2 linked regions of the Canis lupus familiaris genome follow. The protein of the gene in region 1 purifies or fractionates together with the protein of each later gene. This does not show direct contact. Links are inferred from orthologs where the notes say so. Each region holds a gene or a part of one and is shown on either strand. Other genes may lie near its edges. The genes, in order: TBPL1 and GTF2A1.

Region 1 (3,643 bases):
GTGTATTATACAGCAATAAGAATGATCTATAACTACTATATTATGGGATAATATGGATGAATCTCACTATAATAATAATCAATGAAAGAAGAGAGATCCCAAGGAGCATATATAAAGTTTTGAAGTAGTAGATAAAAATAGGGGAAGCTAAACTACAGTGTTAAAAGTCAGGGGACTGGTTTGTGGAGTAGAAGTGACTAAAGTGGACAAATGAGACATTATTTCTATTTTAATACAGGCACCTCATTCAAACCTTAACTGATGATAAGCTTGGTTTCTTTTTTTCTTTTTTTTTTTTTTTAAGCTTGGTTTCAATACCATAAAATACCTGTTACTGTGATACTCCCTGTTGAAAAAATCTGTAATGTAGCTCTTAGAGATTTTATCCGATAGCACACAGCAGGATGAAGTTCAGGTTCATAACTACCAAAAAAAAAAAAAAAAAAAAGAAAAAAATCACAATTAATATAAATATTTACAGGCTGACAGGTAATTATAAATTTGGTAAGTTGTCTTGATTATTCAGAGACCTACCTGGCATGAGGTCTATTGTTCTTTGTGAATTCTGGCAAACGAATTTCAAACGGCATGTTACACACTGCCAAAACGTTAACGACCTTAAAATCTGTAAATATTACCTTTAGGAGAGAAGTACGACTCAATAAGTTATTTTAAAACAAAAAAATTACTCATTAGAAAAAAAACTGCTCATCAGAACAATTGTAAATCATTATTTCAATCCTTAAGAATAAGAGCAAGAAAGAACAAGTACATCTTAAACATCAATATTGTACTTTATCAGTGATTTCTTAATACCATACAGTTGACTCTTGAACAATACAAGGATTAGTATCCCTGGCCAGTCAGATGTCCACGCATAACTTCTGACTCCCCCAAAACTCAACTACTACTAGCCTACTGTTGACTGGAAGTCTTACCTATAAAACAGCCAATTAAGACATATTTTGTATCTTAATCTACTGTATTCTTACAACAAAGCTAGAGAAAATCATAAGGAAGAGAAAATACAATTATAATACTATACTTATTCAAAAAAAATCTGCCTGTACATGGATCTGCACAGTTCAAACCTGTGTTGTTAAAGAGTCAACTCTAAAGGGAAATCAAAGGTCAAAAACCTCAAAAAATTAAACAACACCTAGGATATTTGCAGGATTAAAACACATAGGGTCTTTTGAATCTTATGTTTAATTTTCTTAATACTTAAAATGAGATATTTAATCTAGGATAAAGAAGAAGGATGAAAAAAAATTAAAGCAGAGTTCTTCTCAAGAGTCAAAATGGAAAAGCGGTCACTTAAAAGTCAATAAATAATGAGCATACACTGAGCTCCAAGGTCAGACATTTTCTTATATGCAATAGAATAAAATGATATTTCTGTGAGTTTAGTGAGATGCTTGTTTTCTTTTGGGGGGACAGAGTGAGAAGACTGTGTTTGTAACTGGGATTTTTTTCAACATTTCTAATGTTATGCTAAGACAAGAAGCTCCAAGGCTGAGAAGGAACTTACTTCAGTCACTCCTACCAATAACTTGAATGGTTGTATCTTAGGTTTTGAAATGTCCCCAAACTACAGTTCTCCAGCAGAGTACTTGCATAAGGCAGTTGATGAATGTCACAAAACTGTCTCAAGTGGCAGCACCATCAGTCAAGACTCTCAGTACCGCCTCTTTCCTCATGCAGCAACCAGCACTTCCAGGCCTTTCTAGCATGTTCCACCTCAATGAAGACTGAAGAGGTCAGAAAGAAACTCAACTTTCCACCACTACTCATTCAAATTTCACACAGCTTGGGCCCACCTCTTTGGGGCTCACAGCTCATCTTTACCTTTCTTTCATTTACTCATCATTTGCAAGTGACATAACAAGTCCATAATATGTACTAACTTTTACTTAAATTTATGCCTCCATAAAATTATACTTGATAAACTTAACCTGCCAGACTTGATACTCTGCCAAAGAGTATCATTTTACATGTGAGAGCCCACCACCCAGTGTCTACTTTTTGTGGACTAAACCACAGATTTGACACAGGAAACCAATCTTATAAATGTCCCTTTTCATATGATGTGCATTTTGTTTTGGATTTATGTCATTTTATTTTTTTAAAGATTTTATTTATTCCTGAGAGACACAAACGGAGAGGCAGAGACACAGGCAGAGGGAGAAGCAGGCTCCCCAAGGGCGGGATCATGCCCTGAGCCAAAGGCATATGCTCAACCACTGATCCACCCAGGCGTCCCGGATTTATGTCATTTTAAATACATTATGATTGATTTTACAGAATACAGCCTTTCCTGAGTTCTTATACACAGGTGTGTAGTTGGTATTAGTTATTCATGTCAATTCTTTTCAACTTACAACATCATGTACAGTTATTTCTAAAGCACAGATTATATAAATTCTGCATATTTTTAAATAATTACAATTCCCTGTTATAATGGTAATGTTCTCACTAACCATAATATGTAGGAACACTGTTTACTCTTAGCCGTACAATGCATACATCTATGCAAGTTCCATTCTTTTTTTTTTTTTTTTTTTAAGATTTTATTTACTTATTCATGAGAGACAGAGAGAGAGAGAGACACAGGCAGAGGGAGAAGCAGGCTCCATGTAGGAAGCCTGATGTGGGACTGGATTCCAGGACCCTGGGATCACGCCCTAAGCCAAAGGCAGACACTCAACTGCTGAGCCACCCAGGTGTCCCTGCAAGTTCCATTTTAATATCTTTTCTCTTCTTTATAATTTATGTGATACCTATCTATAAATAAAAACAAATACGCTTTAACTTTTTAAACATAGGGCCCTACACCCTACTCATCATCCCAACATACCACTCTTGAGATGATCAAAAATGAGATTTTTTTTGGTGAGAAGTGAACAACCTAAAGAGTTGAAGAGGCAGTTCACTTGTAAGGCAACAAGTCTCTCAATGAGGAAGGGGTTAGTGAAAAAGCCAGGATCATTTACAAGTACACACATGGGTGAGAGCTTACTATGAAATTTTTGTACTGAAGGACAGTAAGAAAAAGGCCAATCATGAGAAGAGTATCTGTGTGATTTCTTTAGTCTATTACATTAAAAAATTTAACTTTACAAATTAAATCCTTTAATATTTACAGTTTGGATGTTTTTTAAAATGTTACCTGAAAACCTAATTTCTGCAGGCTGCGAGCTAAACGTCTGGCACCAAATTTAGCTTCTTCTTCACTATGGTTTTAAGGAAAGAAAAAGATTATCAGTCACACAAGAAATAAATTTTATACTGACAAACATGACAAACTGTACATATAATTTTAAGTCTAGAAAAATGTCCTTTCCATAAAGGAAAAATTTAAAAATTAAAATAAAAAATCCAAGTAAAATTTACCTTGTTGCTCCAGTGCAAATAATTTTTCCTGAGGACCAAATTGTAGCTGTAATTCTAGGTTTTCTAAGCTTCATTAATACTTTCTGCAATAAAAAACAAAAACAGAAACAAAAAAACCATGGTTACATACTAAGTGTTAATTTTCACTTATGGCTCTACTCTATGTGGCCATTTTATTTTAAAAAATATTTTATTTATTTATTCATGAGAGACACAGAAAGGGAGGCAGAGACACATGCAGAGGGAGAAG
Region 2 (3,826 bases), on another chromosome or scaffold:
TTCATTTTTCAAGTTTACAATTCTTAGCATTCCTGACCTCTAGCAATTAATGGGTCTTCTGAAACAGAACTATAATTGACACAGTATGTTTGGTAGGTGCCCTAAACCCATTTTCCAAAAATAGCATGGGACGGAAGATCTCTCACAAAACATTATTCTTTTGGTATTTTCAACAGAAAACTGCATAATTTTATGAACCTCTATGTCTAAGTATCAAGCTAAATTTTAGATGTGCTGCTAAACCCAATAACGAGGAAACCAAATAAACAGCCATTTTGTTAAAGTCTCAAATAAATTTCACATTGTTAATATACAACACACCTAAGCATAATCACAATTTTGAGTTAGAATAAGTAGAGCTAAGCAAAATACTATATTCCAAGTCTTACCATATTTGATGCGTTCATATGTTGTATCAGCTTAGAATCAGGAACTATAACTTGTGGTGCAGCAGCTATTATAGAAAAAAACAAAAAGCACAAGTGCAAACAAGGAACCATGAGGCTGTTTCAAAATACTAAGAATGCTATACAATGATGAGAACTTTTTTTCCTGTTTTCTACATCCAAATGCATCCACCCATTTGATACCTAAGAATGTTATAAATTTCTATGGTAAATAACAGCTGTGATATACCCATATTATACTTAAAAATATCAATTTAAAAAAAGATTTGTGTAACAATACCTAAGGATACAAAGAAATTTGGATGCATGAAGTAGTGAGATACCTAAAACCTATACATATACAGCTCTGTACGTTCTTAAACTGGAAAATTTCAAACAAAATTTAATTGTATCTTGCTAACTCAATATTGTTTAATACTACTGTTAGAATGAGTTAGTAACCCATTAAGAATGAGCTCAAAGAAACTATTAACTAGGTTTTTTTTTTTTACATCTACATAGCCTTCTTCTCCCATTTGACAGCTGTCAAAATCTTGTTACTTCCAACAACTTTTTAAAAAATATAAATCAGAAATAATGGCTGTTAAAAAAAGAGAGAGAGAAGAAACAATGGCAATGTTACGTAAATATAAAAGGAATTAGATGTTTGATTCCGCAAATTTCAGAGAATAAACAGATAATCCCATTATCCTAATATTCTCTGAGTGAAGAAAATCAAATTTTAATTTATGATGACCTAAAATCCTAGTGCCAAGGCCTGAAGGCAATAGGAGGAACAGTCATCAAAACAGATGAAAAAGGATAAAATTATTTAATGCAGGTATAGAATAAAATCAAATGTTAAAGGTCTTATTTGGTATAAACAGTAAAACAATCCAAACAGACATTTCTACCATACATTACTTACTATGTATCACTATCAATTTTAAGTCTTATATATTCTCAGCCACTCTCAAATAAGGCAAATGGGTAGTAATTAAACTTTTCATTTACCTTCATTCTCCTCTCCAATAATAAGATTTACAAAATGCAAATGCTTGGAAAGCTTCATGACCAAACAGGTTTGTGATGACAGAAAATACTTGTTACATGTAATAGGCCAACCTTCCTGGCCTTCTCAGGGCCCAAATTTCCCTTAGTATTAAAATGTTGGGAGAACTATTTCACAAAGCCTTTTGTAAAGCTTCAATGAAACAAATTTACAGATTTACTTGCATAGTACAAAGAAGTATGGACACAGTCTATATTTGGTTTTTTTCTTACCTTTAAACCAAGTAATATAAATTATGATACACACACACTCTTCACTTAAGTCTAATTCAGCCAATTTATACTTACACAAAGTATTAAAGAACTGAAATTTCAGACTGCCATACTTACAAAAATCCCCCAGTGCTTAAGATGTATTTATAAAAAACAAACTTAAATGTCTTTGATCAATTTTACAAAGAAAGTGGTAACAATTTTACCATATGAAATAATGAAATCCTTAGTAAATAAATCTTTAATAGGTCTGACTTATTTAGGGAAATCTACCGTTTTATAGCCTTCTCGAAAGAAAGTATTAATACACTTTTAAGAATATCATCGTAGGCTCTCAGTTAACTACTTGTTTATAATTTCTACAATATAAAATCCACGTTTTATACAAAATTTGTATGTAAATATACATACACTATCCCCTCAGTCAATAAAAAGGAAAAACCTACAGCTATTTCTCTTCTTTGAAAATGACAAATTTCATTTCCACGTTGTAAGTAGAAAAATATATCCAGTCTCACCTTGCTGTGATGCAGGAATAAGGACCTGCTGAGTCTGCGCTTGCTGAGGTACCGTTTGCTGTGGTTGAGTTTGCTGATGGTGGTGGTGGTGGTGATGTTGCTGTTGCTGGGGTTGATGCTGCTGTTGAACTTGCAATAAAAGCTGCTGCTCTTCTGAATGAAATCCATCTACTGCCCTAGATTGCATTAGTTTATTCTCCCACAACTAAGGCAAAGAAAAGTAATGTTAGTGAAGGTAACTTCAGACATGTGGATAAAACATATTTTATTAGTCTGTTCATAAAATTCTTCCATTTTCAAAACCAATACAACCACAAAATAAACCAATCTCTAATTTTTACACAAGTGTATACAATAATGAAAAATAACTTTTAAAGTATCAAATTTCTTTTTTGCTATCTTGGAGTACTGAAGAATTTTGTTTCTTTTTTTTTTTTTTTAAGATTTTTTATTTATTTCTTCATGAGAGACACAGAGAGAGAGAGGCAGAGACACAGGCAGAGGGAGGAGAAGCAGGCTCCATGCGGGGAGCCCGATGTGGGACTCGATCCTGGGTCTCCAGGATTACGCCCCGGGCCGAAGGCAGGCGCTAAACCGCCGAGCCACCGAGGTTGCCTAGAATTTTGTTTCTTTTTATGTCTTCAAACTCTCTACGGTAATTCCAGGCAGAGTTTCACATAAGCAATTTTTTAATCATCAGGGTACCCTTTTTTAACATCAAAATAATTACTATTTTCATGGAAATCTCCCTTTAATGAAATATCTAACTTTTAAGCTATTATAGCAAAACATAAATTCATGTTTCCTTGATTTGAACAATGAGAAACATCATAGAGGCAATCCTCAAGTTAGAAAAGCCTAACTTTGTCTGATCCTACACAAGTTAAAAAACCAACAATGCCTAACGCTTTTAGAGGCATTCTCAACCCTCCACACCTTTTGAAATTCCCCTCCATCCTCCATCATGACAAGGAATAACAATCCTTTTCTGCTTTGCCACTTCTATTTTCTCCTCTCACCCTAGGACACAGCAATTATGATGGGGAAATAAATCAGACATGGGCAAAGGAAGACAGAAAATAAAATATTTATGACTACTGCATTCCTCTCCCTCACACATTTCCTCTCTAACCAGATTTAAGTCTTCATTGTGGAAAACCTTAACCCTTCTAAGAAATTGCCCAAGAAAGAAAACTATTCTTTAAATATACAAATGAAATTTAATTCAGTTATTTTGGGGCACCTGGGTGGCTCAGCTGGTTAAGTGGTCGACTCAGTTTTGGCTCAGGTCATGAACTCATGGTCCTGCAGGGAGTCTGCTGGTCCCCCCTCTCCTCCTTCCTCCTCACCTTCATCCCCGCTCCCGCGCTCCCTGCTCTTGAGCACAGTCACAGGCTCGCTCTCTCTCAAGTAAATAAAATATTTTAAAAATAATATATCAATCATTTTGTATACCAGCACCTAACACCTACATACACTGTTTTCCCCCCTAGGATATACTCTTGGAATATTACCTAACACACCTGAGGTTTCTATCAGAGCCTCCCTTTACTATGCTCACAACGCTTTACGAGTGTCTCCTTGACACTTCCAACTATTCTAGAAATTCTGTATTTGTAAGTACATGCTAGTAACAAT

What was found.
Region 2: the proteins of TBPL1 (region 1) and GTF2A1 purify together in Homo sapiens (affinity purification with mass spectrometry; 5 studies listed by BioGRID and IntAct, counting the BioPlex papers as one, with this or other methods). This does not show direct contact. The link is inferred for Canis lupus familiaris from reciprocal best matches to the Homo sapiens genes TBPL1 and GTF2A1.

Annotation. Positions count from the first base shown.
Region 1 is NC_049222.1:27,162,428-27,166,070, reverse strand, and holds part of TBPL1 (TATA box-binding protein-like 1), read right to left. Parts: intron 3,477-3,643; coding exon 3,394-3,476; intron 3,234-3,393; coding exon 3,170-3,233; intron 639-3,169; coding exon 535-638; intron 424-534; coding exon 329-423; intron 1-328. UniProt on the Homo sapiens protein: Part of a specialized transcription system that mediates the transcription of most ribosomal proteins through the 5'-TCT-3' motif which is a core promoter element at these genes. Seems to also mediate the transcription of NF1. Does not bind the TATA box.
Region 2 is NC_049229.1:53,857,788-53,861,613, forward strand, and holds part of GTF2A1 (transcription initiation factor IIA subunit 1), read right to left. Parts: intron 2,394-3,826; coding exon 2,189-2,393; intron 1,193-2,188; exon of another isoform or gene 1,048-1,192; intron 455-1,047; coding exon 390-454; intron 1-389. UniProt on the Homo sapiens protein: TFIIA is a component of the transcription machinery of RNA polymerase II and plays an important role in transcriptional activation. TFIIA in a complex with TBP mediates transcriptional activity.